2 linked regions of the Lonchura striata genome follow. The main gene of each other region encodes a partner of the protein of the gene in region 2 in a complex. Links are inferred from orthologs where the notes say so. Each region holds a gene or a part of one and is shown on either strand. Other genes may lie near its edges.

The links.
Region 1: the proteins of BMPR2 (region 2) and INHBB are in contact, whole or in part, in a crystal structure (PDB 7U5O), measured with the Homo sapiens proteins. The link is inferred for Lonchura striata from reciprocal best matches to the Homo sapiens genes BMPR2 and INHBB. Residues at the interface, in NP_001195.2 of Homo sapiens: Tyr40, Tyr67, Leu69, Val80, Lys81, Trp85, Ser86, His87, Ile88, Gly89, Asp90, Gln92, Ile108, Gln109, Tyr113, Phe115; in NP_002184.2 of Homo sapiens: Phe309, Asn318, Asp319, Ile322, Ala323, Pro324, Gly326, Tyr327, Tyr328, Thr379, Met380, Ser381, Met382, Leu383, Phe385, Asp386, Asn390, Ile391, Val392, Lys393, Asp395, Ile400.

What each region holds. Positions count from the first base shown.
Region 1 is NC_134610.1:12,355,273-12,364,058, reverse strand, and holds the start of INHBB (inhibin beta B chain), read left to right. Parts: upstream 1-3,967; coding exon 3,968-4,370; intron 4,371-7,017; coding exon 7,018-7,793; 3' UTR 7,794-8,786. UniProt on the Homo sapiens protein: Inhibins and activins inhibit and activate, respectively, the secretion of follitropin by the pituitary gland.
Region 2 is NC_134610.1:26,684,436-26,693,221, forward strand, and holds the start of BMPR2 (bone morphogenetic protein receptor type-2), read right to left. Parts: upstream 5,216-8,786; 5' UTR 4,536-5,215; coding exon 4,460-4,535; intron 1-4,459. UniProt on the Homo sapiens protein: On ligand binding, forms a receptor complex consisting of two type II and two type I transmembrane serine/threonine kinases.

The sequences.
Region 1 (8,786 bases), about 14 Mb from region 2:
CAATTAGATTTTGTTTATATTAAACCCAACATGAACAATTAGACTGGGATTGCAATGTGACTTTGAAGCACACAATGAATGTCTTTCCTTTTGCAGTACAGAACAAGAAAGAAAATATTTATGATGAGAATAGCATTTGTCCCCTCCATTCTTAAATCACTGTAATGAGCTGATCCTCCACTTGACCCTCTTCACACTCTCGAGTTTTTTGTATTAGTGACAGCTAACAGCTCTCACTTGAGTGCAGTTCAGAGATCTATGAGAAGTTTTATTATTTTCTTCTTCTACAAAATGAAACGAGCAGAAGGGACTTCTTTGCTGTCATGCTTGAAATTTGTGTGTCCTGCATCTGCCCTTGAAAAGCTCCATCTGGCTCGGTGAAAAAGATGAAGGTCTTGAGAGTTTGTCTTCATTCCTGAAGGTAGATTTTTCTTTGCTGTTAAAAAAAAGAAAAAAAAAAAGAAAGAAAGACAGAAAGTAGATGCGATTAGAAGGGCCAGCTGCCCCGCTGCCCAGGTAGGAGGCTCAGCCTAAGGTGCTCCTTCTCCCAGCGCAGAGCTCCGACTCCAGCGTGCACCGCCCGCTGCCCAGCCCGAGCCTCGGCCCCCACCCCAGCCCGGCCCGCGGAAACCTCCCCAGCGCCCCCACGGCCTGCGTCGGAGGGCTGGCACGGGATGCCCGCTGTGCCCGTCCCGCTGTGCCCGTCCCGCTTTCCCGGTGTCGCTGTCCCGGTGTCGCTGTGCCCGTCCCGCTGTCCTGGTGCCGCTGTCCCGGTGTCGCTGTGCCCGTCCCGCTGTGCCCGTCCCGCTGTGCCCATCCCGCTGTCCCGGTCCCGCTGTCCCGGTGTCGCTGTGCCCGTCCCCGTGTCCCGGTCCTGCTGTCCCGGTCCCGCTGTCCCGGTGTCGCTGTGCCCGTCCCGGTGTCCCGGTCCCGCTGTCCCGGTCCCGCTGTCCCGGTGTCGCTGTGCCCGTCCCGCTGTCCCGGTCCCGCTGTCCCGGTCCCGCTGTCCCGGTGTCGCTGTGCCCGTCCCGCTGTCCCGGTCCCGCTGTCCCGGTGCCGCTGTCCCGGTCCCGCTGTGCCCGTCCCGCTGTCCCGGTCCCGCTGTGCCCGTCCTGCTGTCCCGGTGCCGCTGTCCCGGTGTCGCTGTGCCCGTCCCGCTGTCCCGGTCCCGCTGTCCCGGTCCCGCTGTCCCGGTGTCGCTGTCCCGGTGTCGCTGTCCCGGTGTCGCTGTCCCGGTGTCGCTGTGCCCGTCCCGCTGTCCCGGTCCCGCTGTGCCCGTCCCGCTGTCCCGGTGTCGCTGTGCCCGTCCCGCTGTCCCGGTCCCGCTGTCCCGGTCCCGCTGTCCCGGTGTCGCTGTCCCGGTCCCGCTGTCCCGGTGTCGTTGTCTCGGTCCCGCTGTCCCGGTCCCGCTGTCCCGGTGCCGCTGTCCCGGTCCCGCTGTCCCGGTCCCGCTGTCCCGGTCCCGCTGTCCCGGTGACCCCGCCCGGCCCCGCCGCCGCTGCCCCGCGCGGCCCAGAGGGGGCGCCCTCGGCCCAGGCTTCCCCAGCGGCGGCGCGCGCGGCCCCGCGCAGGTGAGCGCGGCCCCGCGGGGGCCCGGCCGGGCGCGGAGCGGCCGCGGGGACGCCTCGGTGGCGGCGCCCGGTGCCGCCGCCTCGGTGCCACCGCCTCGGTGCCGCCGCCTCGGTGCCACCGCGGCCGCCGATGTGCGCCGGGCTTCTCCCCCCGCCCCCTCGGCCCCTGTCCCTGGCCGCTGGTCCCCGGGCTGGAGCCGGGTGGGAATCTCTGCTGACCCCTGCGAGGGCTGTCACAGCCATCCCCTTTGCCTCGGTGCCCGCTCCCCTTCCATCCCCCGCCAAAGCGCTGCCCCGCGAAGGCGCGCAAGAAAAGCCGGTCCCCGGGCGCGGGCAGGGCCGGCTGTGCTGCCGGCTCCCCGCCTCGGCTGCGGGAGTGCAGCGGTCCCGTTATTTCCCCTCCCGGCTCCCCTGGGCCGCCGCCCCGGCCCCCCTCCCCCTGCTGCCTCCGACAGGCTCCGCGTCCCTGCTGCCCCACGGAAAACACACACAGTCCGCGGCACCCGCCCCGGCTACCCGGCCCATTCAAACAAACAAACAGAAACCCGCCCCGTCGCAAAGCCAACCGACGGTAAACTTTCTAATGACTTCTTCTTTCAAGTGCTTAAAAGGCAAGGAGCACCGGGGGAGGGAAAGAAAGGGGCATCCATCTCCCGGCCGGGGCGGGAGGGGGGCCAGAGCTGCGGTCGCTCGGGGTCCGTCCGTCCCTCCGTCCGTCCTGCCGGACGACGGGACAGGGACGGGAGCCGGTGTGTGGTGGGTGTGTTTGCAGGAACCGGGAAGGAGGGAGGGGACGGGGGGAGTTAAAGAAACAGCATAGTTAATATTTCCACATCAGGAAGTTACTGTAATAGCCCAGGGGGCAAAAGACTTAACTTAATCTCCTAAATAGAGAGGAACCCATGGCGTCTCTGTTATAGGTTGGAGTTCCCACGTGGTTTTAACTCCTGTATAAAAGTTTCAGTAGAAAGTGCCACAATGTCGTGATTTTGCAGGGGGGAAAAATTAGCAGAAGGAGATCAGAGAAGATACACGAGGAGCAAGCAGCTTCCCCGAGACCTTTCACTGCGGATCCGAGAGGGAACATCAGACGCGTAAAAAAAGAAAAACAAAAAACAAAAACAAAAACCAAAAAGCCAAACAAAACAAAAAACCCAAACAAAACAAAACACAGCGTTCAAGCCAGCACAAGGCGAGCGAAAGATCAAAAAGACGCAGAGGGAGACAGATTAACTGGAGCAGCAGCAGCAGCAACAACAACAAAAATCACACTTAAAATAATAATAACAACAATAATAATAAAACCCAAACCACCAACAAGGGAGATATTGTTTAAAAGGGCAAGCGAGAGAGCGAGCCGAAGAGCTGGTCTGACCGAGTGGATCCGTGCAGCTTCTCCTGGGATCGCCGGGATCGCGCCGCTTCTCCGCTCCGCGTCGCGCAGCGTGCGGTGCCCTGCCCGCGGCGGGGGTCCCTGGGCGCCGCCACCGCATCCGCGCCGGACTCCGGACCCTCCGCGCTGCTTTGAAAATAAAAGCATCTCGCTAATAATAAGCGGGACGGTGGGGGGAGAAGACTCGCAACAGTGGAGCTGCCAGCCGCGCACCCTCTGCCCGCCGCCCCCGGCTCCCTCCCCAGCTATGCTCCGGGTCAACTTTGATGGCACGTTGAGAAGCAGCGGGCGCTGAAGGGGGACAACCGAGCGGCGCGGAGCCGACCTGCTCAGAGACCTGCACCCACGGATTGTCTTGCGGGGGCGGAGTGGGCGGGGGGGTACAAGTGGCATTTCTCCCCCCCCCTCCTTCCAGGCTATAAATTGGATTGTATATAAATCTGCTTCGTTTATCTCCCTGACCCCCCTCAATGACGCTGGACTAGAGAGCTCCTCTCCGCGGCCCGCCCGGACCTGCCGAAGCGAGCGATGGACCACGAGCGACTGCGCCCGGGGATGCCCCTCTGAAGCGACGCGGGGCACCGGGGCAGAGCGGCGCCGCCTCTCCCCTGCTCCCCGGATCCCCTCGCACCTCCGGCTCGCTCCCCGCTCCCCCTCCCTCCTCCCCGGGCTCCGCAGCCACCCCCTCACCTGCTGCCGTCCCCCTCCCCCGTGGAGCCGGGCTCTCTCCGTGCACGCCAAGCCTGTTCCCCCCCCGCCGCCAACTTCGCCCTCGGTGCCTGCGCGTGCAGCCTCCCCCTCCGCCTCCCCGGCGGCACACGCCGCTTCCCGGGCGCCCCCTCCCTCCGCCGCGGCTCCCCCCCTGCGCGGAGCGGTTGCGGCCCCCCAGCTTGGCTGCCACCGCCCCCTCCGCGCCGCGGAGCGCTCGGAGCGGCGCTGCCTGCAGACGGGCTCCCTGCGGCGCTCCGGGGCGGCCCCCAGCTCGGCCCCCCGCTCCTCCGCCATGGACGGGGCGGCTCGCCGGGGGGTGCTGGCCGCGCTGCTGGCCTGCGGGCTGCTCCTGCTGGGCGCCGCGGCCACCCCGACCCCGCCGGCCCCCGCCGGCGGCTCCCCGCAGGACACATGCACCTCCTGCGGCTTCCGGCGGCCCGAGGAGCCGGGCAAGGTGGACGGGGATTTCCTGGAGGCGGTGAAGCGGCACATCCTGAGCCGGTTGCAGATGCGGGACCGGCCCAACATCACGCACGCCGTGCCCAAGGCGGCCATGGTCACGGCGCTGCGCAAGCTGCACGCCGGCAAGGTGCGGGAGGACGGCCGCGTGGAGATCCCCAGCCTGGACGGGCAGGCGAGCGCCGGGCCCCCGGCCCACGACCCGGTCTCCGAGATCATCAGCTTCGCCGAGACAGGTGGGCACCGCCCGGCCGCGCTCCCCCGCCGCCCGCGCCCCTCTGCCCGACCCGCCGCGGCCCCTGCCCTGCCGCGCTCCCCGCCTGTCCTGCCTCGCCCCGTCTGTCATTCCCCCTGCTCGACCCCTGTCAGTCCCCCTGCTTGACCTCTGTCAGTCTTCCCTCTCGCCCTGCCTGTCCTCCTGCCCACCTTCTCTTTCCGCCTGCCTGACCCGTAGCACTTCCCCGGCTGCCCTTGCCTGGCCCGCTGCGCGCCCTGCCTGTCCTCCCGCCTGTCCTTCTGCCTGGTACGGGCACCTGGCCGCCCGGCTCACCCGCTTGTCCTCCGCCTCATTCGCTCTCCCCTCTGCCCCGCACCGTCTCGCTCTGGCCCTGCCCTCGCTTTTCCATTCTCCCTGCTTTGCCCCTGTGCCCGGGATTCTCCCCAGGTTGTGCCTTGCAACTCCCTTCTCTCGTCCCTCCATCCCTCCGCAGCCTCCGTGCCCCCGGCTCCCCTCTGGCGGTCCTTCGAGCAGCACCGGGGCTTGTCTCTGTCCCCGCATGTCCCGCTGTCCCTCCTCTGCCTGTCCCGCTCCATCTCTTGCATCCCTTGCCTTGTCTGTCTGCCCTGCACATTCATCTGGTTCACTGCCTGCATCTGTCTGTTGAGGCTTGCATTTCCCCATCCTCTCTTTCCATTTGTTTCCCATTTATTTAGCTTTCATTTGCAGTATTGGCCTTGTCTATTTGTCCATTGCATGCAGTGTCCAACCAAGTGTGTCTGTCTCCTCTCTGTCTGTCAGTCTATTTACTAACTGCCCTCCATCCCCACGGTACCAGCCATCTCAGTCCTGTCCAGCCATTGCAGTTATGTGTCACCGAATCCCTTCAGCACAGCTTTCCAGTAGTTTAACCACTGTCCCCATGAACTTTGCACATCTGGCTGGAACAGCATCACTCTGCGCATTACCTGTCTATATCTGCCCATCTCTCCTTTCCTTCATCACTCTATCGCTCGTTTCATTTTCCTCCCTCTATCTTCTTGTGGCATCTATATATCATTTGTCCACAAAATAAATCTCTTTCTATCCTGTATGCTGCCCACTCATCTTCTTTATCTACCCTCCCACTTACCAAAGGCATATACATTTACAGTATCTATGGGATCTGTTGCATTATACATATGCTTGTTATATTCACATACAAAATTTATGAGTGCACACAATCTCACACAACACAAGTGATGTGGATCGGTGCAGCAGCACCGTACTGTTCTTTTTCTGTCACTGTCACCACAGTTTATGAAAAAGTTGTGTATTTACTAACATGAGAAAGGCTTTCTTAGTGTACATTTTGGGGGTTATTATTTTTTAATAGGACGTTGTTGGGAGATTGGGGGTGGGCTCGTACTTCCATTTGGTATTCAGTCAATCGCTGTCTTTTGTAACACTTCCAAAATTGACTTTATGTAAAACGTAGACAAACACAGTGAAAATTTTTGTCACTGAACTATTACAAGGTACTGAATGGGCTCTGGAGGCACATATGAAAGGCATCTAGGGTAACAAATGAAGACACCGACTACGCAAAAAATCCCATTCAGAGATTGACAAAAATGCTAAAGATTCTTAGGGAAGGAAAAGGCAGGAAAAAAATCTACATTTAGCTCTGTACAGACGGAAGCAAAACCGATAAGGGCAGATGAGAAAATGCCTTTCCAGCAATAATTTTAAATAGCGATTGGGATGCTTTGATTCAGGGATCAGAATTACAGTCTCCGCCATAAAGGCCGTCACATTTATCACCTACGCCAAATTTAGTTAGGACTTATATTACAAAATTGCAGGAAGGCCGCTGGTATTTCTGAAATGTTTCGTGCAGCAGGCTCTTCTGTTTACAAATAAGGGGTTATGTCAGACATTTGGTGACATTTGGTTTTCTCCTTTAATTCTGGTGTTGCTGAAATGCGTATTGAGAACAGCCAATAACGGCGTTACAGCGGGAACAACCGCTTCATTGCCTTGCCTCGTATGGGAGCTCATCGTTCTGGGGAGAAAAGGCAGAGATTGAAATGATTAATAATAGCCGATATTCTACCAGACTAAGTGGGGGTTAGCTTGATCTGTTGGACAAGCAGGCACATTACTGAAATATTTTCCGTTCTGTCTCATGAATCCTCTCCTTTAAACCGCAACAAGAATACATGCAAATCGAAACAAAATCCCTGGTTTGGCATTGGCGTTTTAGTGGTTATTGAAAGAGCTCTCCCCATGAGAATTGGCAGGTAGCTGAAAGTTAAAACTATTCTTAAACTGATGAGATAGCAGAATCTAGTCCTAGCGCCGGTCTTTTTCAAGGTGCTGCTGTAGCATCTTTAAATCTGGCTTTCTGGAAAAACCATATATTGGGGAAAACTCTTACTGTTGTCTGTGCATCTGACACATCCGACGACAGCCCGATGTTGAAGGCTGCTGTGAGAAGTCCCCTTTTCAATTAATTCTAATTGCAAATTTGGGATATCTGATGCAGTGCATGCCTTCTGACTGGCACAGCCCCGTCACTGTTCACTCGATCCGCTGTGCTCTAGTGTTGTCCCTGAATCCAGAATGGCACACAAGCTAACATTTCCTTTTTGACTTAATCTTGCTGATCTCTCCTTATCTTGCAGACGATCTGGCCTCATCTAGAGTCCGCCTCTATTTCTTCATCTCAAATGAAGGGAACCAGAACTTGTTTGTCGTTCAAGCCAGCCTGTGGCTTTACTTGAAGCTGCTTCCATATGTCTTAGAGAAAGGCAGCAGGCGAAAAGTAAGAGTCAAAGTCTATTTCCAAGACCCGGACACTAGCAACAAGTGGAATGTGGTTGAAAAGAAAGTTGATCTCAAAAGAAGTGGTTGGCACACTTTTCCCATGACAGAGGCAATCCAGGCTCTGTTTGAGAGAGGAGAAAGGAGACTGAACTTGGATGTTCAATGTGAGGGCTGTGAAGAGTATTCAGTGCTGCCAATTTATGTGGACCCCGGGGAGGAATCCCACCGGCCTTTTTTAGTGGTGCAAGCCCGCCTCGCTGATAACAAACACAGGATCCGGAAAAGAGGCCTGGAGTGCGATGGCAGGACCAATCTATGTTGCAGGCAACAGTTTTACATTGACTTTAGACTCATTGGGTGGAATGACTGGATCATAGCACCATCAGGTTACTATGGGAATTACTGTGAAGGGAGCTGCCCGGCCTACTTGGCCGGTGTCCCGGGGTCGGCTTCCTCCTTTCACACCGCTGTCGTGAATCAGTACCGAATGCGGGGGCTGAACCCGGGCACCGTGAACTCCTGTTGCATTCCAACCAAACTTAGCACAATGTCAATGCTGTACTTTGATGATGAATACAACATTGTGAAAAGGGACGTTCCCAATATGATTGTGGAAGAATGTGGTTGTGCTTGATTTAAGGTGTGTTTTGGGGGGGGAGAGAGAGAGAGAGGGGGAGAGAGAGAGAGAAACATTCCCGTACAAGATGGTGTTGGAGGAAGTTTCACTGTGTATCCGGGCATCAGTGTTGGAAAGTCACTGTGGAAAAGTTTGACAAAAAAAAAAAGAAAAAAATAATCATTTCACTTTGGTGTCAGGACAGTGGCAGTTTGTGGATCATGGACACTTATATATTCTATCACTTATAAGTTAATGCTATGAAATATCTTAAAAAGACACACACACACACACACACACACACACACACACAAAATGTGGGCACGCATACAAACACACGCTCAGACACACAGACACACACAGACACACACACATGAGGCAGCTCGGAAAAGGGACATGAGCACAGAAAGTCAGTGACCAGTGACGATGGACCTAAATGCCTGCCAGTACGAGTGAACGGCTGAGCAGCTGTTTCCCCGCCTGCCGGCAAAGCCAGACCGAAATGAGCTCCCTTTGCTCAGGCAAAAGCACAGACTGTGAGAACACAACGTATTCTTGCACGCAGGTGTCAAAATGACCAAACTTAGAAAACTAAAAAAAAAACAAAAAAGAAAAAAAAAAAAGTCGACTGTCACCTCTTAGGTCTAACAGGAAGCTGCAGGACACCTGCCTTGGGAGGCTATCACTTCCTCTTAATTTAAATTTATCTAAACATAAACATCACAGATACCCACTTCTTGCTACAGCACTTCCAGCAAGGAATTCTGTGGTTCCATCGGGGGGAGAGAGAGAGAAAGAAAAGGGGCAGACATGTTAGAAACTGCTGTATTTCTAACTCCTGGCTGTTGTGGAGTCACAAGCTGGGCTGGTGCGATCCGATGCTTTTACTGCCCACTAGCAACCCATGGTTGGCTACACCCGCCGTGTCTTGGAAAAGGGAATCGATACCATATCTGGACTGTGTTGACTGTTGGCATCTCTCACTGTGCAAAGAACAAAAAGTCAAAAGTT
Region 2 (8,786 bases):
CAAAATCAAACAGTGAGTAGCTCCACTAAGTCTACAATCTCAATAAAATTAATAGTTACTGCCTCTAAGCTATGCACAGATTCCAGTCCTACCCAACCTAAATCATCACCCAGCCTGTTTTATTCAGGGCATAAACATTTTGTTCCAAATGAAACTTTACACTCAGCTCGCAGCTCTGGCTATAAAGTTATATTCTGCCCAGAAAATGACAGCACATATTCATAGCACAGCCAGACTGAGTCCAAACACAATGCAGCTCCAGTAAGAGGCACTCTGTTGTTAGGAATAAAACATTTCTGAAGAACCCTATATCACTTTCTTGTCACTTCAGTGAGAAAGGTAGAGGAAGATGGTATCTGCCAAGGAAACAATGCCACTGACTATACAAATTACTGAGAAATACTTAATGAAATGTAAAAAGGAAGGGAAACAACACTGTAGAAGTCAACAAGTATTTTTTTACAGAAATTTCTAACAAGTGCTAGGGAGATGCCATTAAAACAACCACTTCAACAAACTTCACTGTAGGAATAATTTTAAGAAATACAGTTATGCTTCCCTCTTTGTCCAGGGTGCAGTGAGGTTGGCCTGCCTTCATCAGAGAAGGCTAGGCAGACAGTCCAGCCAACTGTCTAATGCGTAAAACAAAACCACTCACACTGGAGCAAGGTATCTGTGTAATGTCTCAGGGCTTGAAATTTGGGTTCCTTGGCCACCAGATGAGCACAGCTTCCATTTCCTCACAGGCTGTGCTGACACTGCACAGTGCAGTATCCCAGTACTGAAGTTTGCTTGGGAACTGGAAGCACCTGAGATAAAATATCACAGAGGCTCATACAGGCTGATTTACCTAATGGAAAAATGGTTCTTCCCAGCAGGGTGAATGGCTCTGTGGACAATCCTGGGCTTCCACGGCTACAAAATTTTTTTACACAAGCACACAGCCCATGAAGCCCCATGAAGCCTGGTGTCCAGGCTGCACCTGTGCTGTGGTTATCCTTCAGGCATCCCAGTGTGACCTCAAGCCAACAGCCTGGCTGCCATTTCCCAGGCTAAGATTTCTGAGACGGCTCCCAACACAAACAGAAAAATAAACATAATTTCTAGGTTACATTTGAAAAAAACATAAGCAATGGGTGTAGCTCTTGTACATAAGTAGAAATTGGGGTGCAGATAAGTTTAAAAAAACCCACTCTTTAATATGCAAGATACAGGGTCAGTTACTAAACTGAATTAGAAGAAATGAGTTCAATATCATTTCACCCAATTCACATTTCAGACAAATTATGTTGAGATACTACAGTAAACAAGCAAGACAGAATTAGATAAAGATGCTTCAGTCACTCATTTTAATTAATAATTAGAATTATCATTAAAAAAATTCAATCTCCATCCAATTCCTTTAACGCTTTAATTTTTGCAGCCCTGTTGAACCGCACAGATACTCCCAAAGATAAAAGGATACCCTGCTTGCTTTAATTTTCACCTTATACTTTCTGCAAATAATTTACACACTGTACAATGGAATGCTGTCTACTGTGGACATGTATGCAGAAGGAAAAGTGGTTCAGCATTGCATATCACATAACGTAAGCAAGTGAAATGAGGAAAGATTGTATCTTTAATATCTGCTCCATACGAACACCCAAACAAAATTCTTTTGCAATACTGCGAAACAGCTCAAAGGCTCACCAATCAATCACCTCTTCAGGCAGAAATCCTCATGATTAACACACCAGAATCCTCTACAATATAAAGACATATATATATATATATATATGTCTCATAGTTCTAAACAAAAGATTTAGAAATAAGGATTTTAAATAACCTGAAAAATAAAGAACAAAGTGTTGCAAACCATTTTTGTCCAATACTGCTTTTTAAACCTCTACCCAAGACTGCTGTCAGTAAAATGTCCTCACTAAAGCATTTCTCTTTACAAAGACTAATACATTCTTTAAATGCAGACTTATCAGATAACTGTTAAGATCTGTATTTTATGGAGGAAGCCAGTAATATTTTCCTCCTAATAATCAGCAAATATTTCTGCATCTAGAGCTAGTTCTTTATTATATCTTCAATTAAAAAGGGGAAGGGAAAACCACCTTCTCGCTTCATTCATATTCCAGATTATGAGTGGAACTATCATCTACAAGAAGATGACACAAAAAATCGGTAAGATTTTTTTGTGTCATCTTCTTTATTCATCATTTTATCTTTCCTTTCCTGTCCATACTGAGCCCAGGTCTTTGTGGAGCACTCCCCGGAGAGGTCCAGATATTCTACTCCAGACAGAAACTTAAAAACCTGTTATCAAAATGCTTTCCCTCTGATGTCATGATTTTGCATTTATAGGCACTCAATTCTATACACTGCCAAGATATAGTATCTGTTCACTAATCAGAAGAAAGAATAGGGGTTTCAAAGCTACAAAGGCAGCATTCTCACTTGGATGGGAGTGTACAGTTCATACTTTGGGGGAGGGGAAGAGAAGAAAGAGTGTTGGCTCTTTCATGAACATAAAAGGGCAGAATTACACATTAGTGTAGCTTCCCCATGTATAGACATTTTTTTTCTGAAATGCAGTGTAAACTTAAAATCAGCCATTAGCTTCCTTAACTAAAGCTCAAATCATCCATGTAATTACTTTTACAGAGGATTATGACTAAGTTTTTTTTAAATGTGAATTGTTAAAATTTCACAATTAAGAAATAAATCACAATGGGAAAATAGGTGCCTATTCAAAAACACCCAACCAAGCTGGCATCGTTAATACCCTTTAAACAAGGCAGAACTGAAATACTGGGAATGCTTGTTGCCAGTTCAGAATTGAAGTGAATTGGGTAAACCGTGCAAATAGGTTCTTAGAGCACCTGCCCAGCCCTTGGCCTGGTACAAATCTGTACTTGTTCCTTCAGCAACCCTTCTTCATCAGGGCACAGAAAATACCAACTCATTGAAGTTTTCAAAATGGAAAAAAACAAAACCAAACAAACAAACAAAAAAAAAAACCAAAAAAACCTACACTTTTTTAAAAAAAATACATTTGAAAGAAAAGTTGGAATGCTGAGCATTCTTGATTCATATGTGCTTTAATACCAAGATTTTTGACCTTCAGAAGTCCCTTCTCCCAGGAAAAAAAAAAGGGAATAAACCAAAAACACTCCTCAGAAACAGCCACAGAGAGACGCTGCAGACATCCATCTAAAATAATGGCAGCCAAAGGTCAGGATAATACAGGGAACACCATGCTTTTTATTTATTAATCTTCCTGAAAGAGACCTCTTAGTAAGCAGAAGCAAGAAAATCAGGGACTATCCAGTCAGAGAGATGTAGAAACTGCCTAAACATGTGTCATTTCCAGGATTTTCCTAATAATGATACCAAGTATCCTCAACTCTGACAAATTAATTTTAAGACCTCACTGAAATATAACATGGAAACCACCATCAGCTTGTTAGGTCATGTTAGCAAGATTCAGCAATTTTTCTCTGAAGATTCGCTTATCTATATCCAGAAGATTACAAAATATCACTAAGAAAAGCAAGCACTGCAGATTGGATCCTGATCAGTAAAACGACAGAAAAGTCGTAGGAGTCTTCCAAAAGTGCTGGGAAATGCATACTGCAAGAACAATTGGTATTCCTGCCTAGCAAAGCTGGGTTACACTAAAAGGCTCCAACATGTTAATCTGTCACCGTGACAGAAAAGCAAAGGATGCCAGACCAACACACATCTCTTTTCCAACACCCCGCATATCTAACACTGAGCTTCCGAACACAATTAAAAATAGGACTAGTGTCCAAATATATGAGTAAGGGTGTTCTTAGCATTTCTGCTTCCAACTTCTTGTTACAAAAAAAGAGTACCCTTCAAGACCTTTCGGCATTTCCTTAAGAGTGTTTTTTTGTGTTCTATAATCACAAGTGACAGAAGAAATAGCTCCGTATTTGCTTCAGATCTCTCCAATGGAAAAAAAAAATACACATTACAGTAATTCTGTTACAAAACTACAGCACATGTGTGAGGCCCCGAGAAGCACCGATGCTGATAAAATTAAAAATGGCTGTGCCCGAAGATCCCACAGCGAAACAGGCACAGCTCTGCTGACGATTAAAATATATATTAAAAATTCCTGCATTACCTTACAAAAGGCGAGGTATGCAAAACTAAAAGATTATATATATTTCCAAAACTGAAGTAACTTATTAGACAAGAGATGCAGATCTAAGCAAAGCATTCTTATACTGAGTGCAGGTCTCGCTCATTTACACAATAAAGCAGATTTTATTCCCCGAGACACTCAACGTATCAAGATTTCAAAACTTTTATCAGGCTTCGCCGCTGAAATAGATGCACACCACTCGGTGAGGAGGCAGAGATGTGCCCGAAGAGCAGCGGACCCCACCCCCTTCCCGCTGCCAAAATGGCCAGTTCGTTCCACCCAGTGGCTACTCACCAGCCGCAGTGCCGAGCAGCAGGGTGGCACTGGAGAGCAGGAGCACCAGCACAAGGTGCTGCAGTGAGGCAGGCATACCTGGGCAAGCCACGGTTCGAGCCGGCAGGAGAAAAAAAAAAAAAAACAAAAAGGGGTAAAAAAAACACCCAAACCCCGAAGAGAGGCGAATCCTCCTGCTTTCGCACAGCCTTCCTTAACTCTCTCGGTTTACAATCCAGTCTGGAAGGGCAAATGGCAGATGAGAGGAGCCGTCTTCGCTCTTACTCCATTAGAGCCGCCTGCCTTCATGCCTGGGGAGCCGGCAGCGCTCAGCGGACACGGGGGAAGCGCCTGGCTCTGCCTCCCAGCCCCGAGGCATCTCCCCCGCCGGGGAGGACGGCGGCACGCTCCCGACCCCGCTGGGAACCGGGCTATTTCCCACGCAGCTTCACGACATCGAAGAAAGCGCCCGGTCGGGAAGGGAACATATCCAGACGCGCCCACCGCGGTGTCAGTCAGCGCGGGCCCTGCGGGCTGCCCGGGGCGCGGAGAGCGAGCTAGGGGCTCACGGCGGCGGCGCGTCCCATCCCGGCAAAGGGCTCTGTCCTCTGGCCGCCGCTCCTGCTGCCTCACGCTCCGGGCAAGGCGGCGGCGAGGCCCCCTGTTCTCACGGCGAGGGCTGCGGCTGCATCCCGGCCCATCTGCCTCCCGCGCCGGGCGGGCTCTTCCGCGCTGCCCCGGCCCCCGCCGCAGCACCGACGCCACCCCCGGCCACCCCGACAAAGGTGGGGCCCGGGGCGCCGAGGCCCCTCCTCGGCGGCTCCGGCTGCGAGCGCACCCGGCTGCTCTCGGCGGGCGAAGGCCCTTCCCCTCCTCCGCCTCCCGCCCCGAGTTTCCACAGCGCCGGGCAGCCCAGCCCGGCCTCCTCACGCCGGTCTCCGCGCTGCCAGCGCCTTCCTCCCCCCGCGCCGGGCTCGCCGGCGAGCGGCCGCTCCGCCTCTTTCCCCTGCCCGCCGCCGGCTGCGGGCGGGAGCCGAGCGAGGGCCGGAGCTCCGCCGCCCGCGCCCCCTCTCGCCCGCCCGCCCCAACAGCACGGGCGGCTCCAGACACAAAGGGGAGTCGCCGCAGCCGCCGGCCCGGGCGCCCGTCCCGCCGCGCCGCCCCCGCCGCCCGGCTCCGCCCCGCACCATGGAGGTGGCTCCAGGTGGGCAGAGCGGGGCGGCCGGGCGGAGCTCCGCCGGCCGCGGGGCGAGGGCAGCGCCGCGGGCCGGAGCTGCGGGCGAGGGGCGGCTCCGGCAGGAGGGGAAGGCCCCGCCGGACCTTCCCGGGGAGGCCGCGAACGCCCCCCCTCCCCCTTGCAGCCTGTCTGTGAGAGAGGCTGTCAGCAGGGAGGCGTGAGCTCAGGATTCACAAAAAGCCTGCAACAAGGAAAAAATGTTTAGCAGGCTCTGAGATTGCGTCATGCGTGAACTCGGTGGCCTGCCTGTCAGACACCCGCACTCCTGCCTCGTCCTCGGGTTCAAGACCCCGTTATCTCTGTCCCTGAGAGCTCCCCTAGGAGCACTGGCCGTGCCACCTACTGCTCTCCCTGGTGAGCCCGGGCAAATCACAGATCAGTTAGGTTGGAAACGACCTCTGAGATCATCGAATCCAACCTGTCAGCCAAGTGCCACATCCAGTCTTTCCTTAAACATCTCCAGGGACGGTGACTCCACCACCTCCCTGGCCAGCCCATTCAATAGCTAATCACCTTTTCTCTGAAGAATTTCTTCCTAATGTCCAGTCTGAAATCCATTCAGCTCGTATGGCTTCAGCCACCTGACTCTCTCAAGCAAAACCATTGCTTAAAACCTCTTAAAGAGATTTTATTATTTCAAAACAAAGATAAAGTGAACCCACTCAGCTGTTTGTATGCTTTAACCTTTGCTGTATTGCACAGGACCAAAGAGATAAATTTAGGGTAGCAGCTGATGGGAGAACTGTGACTGGAATGTAGTGTCTGATGTTCTGGCCTAGCAAGGCTCTTTCAAACAAGTTTCACTGGCTGTTGCACAGAAAAAATGGTTCTTAAGAACACCCTGCACCCAAAGGCACCTTCAATAGCTGGGGATCACCAAAGGTTTGATTATGGGAAATGCTTCCCTGTGCCAAAATTCCTATACCGGTTTCAAGAGTGGACTACAAGTTCAAAAATATTGAATGCTACTACATAAAATTATGTAGTTGCAAGTCAGAGTTACAATTTTAGTGATAATAAAATTTTTCTGCACAATTCCATTTTTCTTCACAAACGGTAATGGATGAAATAGCTGTACTCTGGTACTTTGATCATCAAGAGCATTATTAAATAAATTGTACTGGGATTTTCATCATTGTGACGGCCAGGGTCATAGTTTGACATTCCTAGGGTCAAGATGAATTTACACTGATAGTTAAAAATGTTTTCAAAGTTTCCTACAATATTTTTACTTCCAATCTATGCAGATCCAACATGGATATTGGTGAGACAATAAAATATAGAATCACAGATTGTAATTTGTATTGCCACTTTCCAGAATTGCAACCACACATTAACCACAGTATCCTTCCTGTTATTTGTTAAATGTGAATGTCAAGAAATAGCCTTTGGAAGCAACACCAACACCAACTCTCCACCCTCAACAGCTAGAACAATTTTACCTCCAAGAGAGGAAAAAAACCCTAACACTGAATATTTTTCTGCAGCACCAAAATCCAATGTACTTTTCTGGTTCCACAGACATCAAACTTGCGATACACCTTCTGCCCAGCTGTACCTACCAATAAAAGAAGCAAGATCTACTTTGTTCAGAGAAAACAAGAACCTTGCCATATGGGTTGCACAGCACTGCCACCGTTTAAATGGTAAAAGAAAATTACTGTGATTGTTTATGATATGTATGAAAACCTGCTCAGCCTGAAGTAAATGACACAGGTCTCATTTGTTTCAATGGTTCTAGTTTTGGCTCATTACTTAATACTAGGAGTTCTTTTCCACAAGAAATTGGGCAAAAACATATATTCTGCCCTAAAATACTTTTTTTTTTCCCTCCACAAAATTGATTTGAATTTCTCTGTTTTCCTAAAATGAAGGGAAAAGATATGTCATTTTGAATACAATTGTTTCCTTTTAGTTTCACAAAAAACACAAACCCGATCAAGAAAACACCCTACTGAAGGGCACGGGGCTGTGCATCGACTTTGCTGGAGTTTCTATCAGGCCCTTGGACTAATCTCACACACTTGCACTCCCAGCAGTTTGCAAGGATTTCCCCTCCTTCCCTAAGCTCTCTGGAGTGCTGTAGATGTTCTCTGCAAGGGCTGGGTCCCTCCCAGCCCGTGTGGCTGTGCCCGCTCACACGCGATGCCCGGCGGCAGAGCAGCAGCTGTGGCACCCCGGGCTCCCCGGAGCTGGCAGGGCACCGCTTCACCACACAGACTGAGAAAGCCATCCTGTGTAAGCACAGGAGCAGCTTTTCCCACGGTGGTGGGAGGAAATCAGAGATCCAAACTGTCACAGTCAGGCTCACTCATTGTTATGTGCTTGGACAAGAACAAATTTATAATTCTTCCTGTGATATTGTTTTAGCTGTAAGCTAGAATTGCGCTCTCCCAATATTCAGCGACACCAAGTAAGACCTACAGAAAAGTAGTCAGGATTAATGGAAACTTGCAGAACAGTAAATCTACGGTGCAGGTTCAGGTAAAGATGGGGGTGAGACAAGAGAAAACATGTCAAATTTACCAAGATTTAAAAGCCAATATTCTGACTAAAGCACTGTATTTCCACCAGGAAGAACTCTGACCAATGAAACAACACCATTGAACTTACTGGAGATAAGACTGTTAAAATATGAGGAGGAAAGGCCTTTGGAAGCAGATGGTCTTTTGCAGCTGTGTTCGCTGTTCTCACAGGCAGGCAGAGGCAAGGCTGCCCCAGCAGCATGGTCACGGGGCAAGGACGAGGAGGGCAGTGGCAGAGGAGCCAGGGTCTGGTGGCTGGAAGCTCCCCAAGATGCAGGCCAGATAGAGGACATGTATCTTGCCCTTGGCTGAGGGAGCTCTGAGCAGCACAGGCACAAACAGCACGTGGGGGTTGCCCTTTGCTTCAGAGAGACACACAGAGAGAAATGCAGCTGATAGGAGGCTCAGGAGTGTCCTGCTCTGGCTCAGACTGATGCAGACACAAACATGTTGATATCACTGGCAAATTCAACACTGCACGTAAGAGAAATTAAACATGTCCTTGTTAGCAGCATCTCCTTTAAACAACACACATCTTTATTTTTAATTAACTGAAATAAGGGAAACTATTTTCATGCTACCAAGA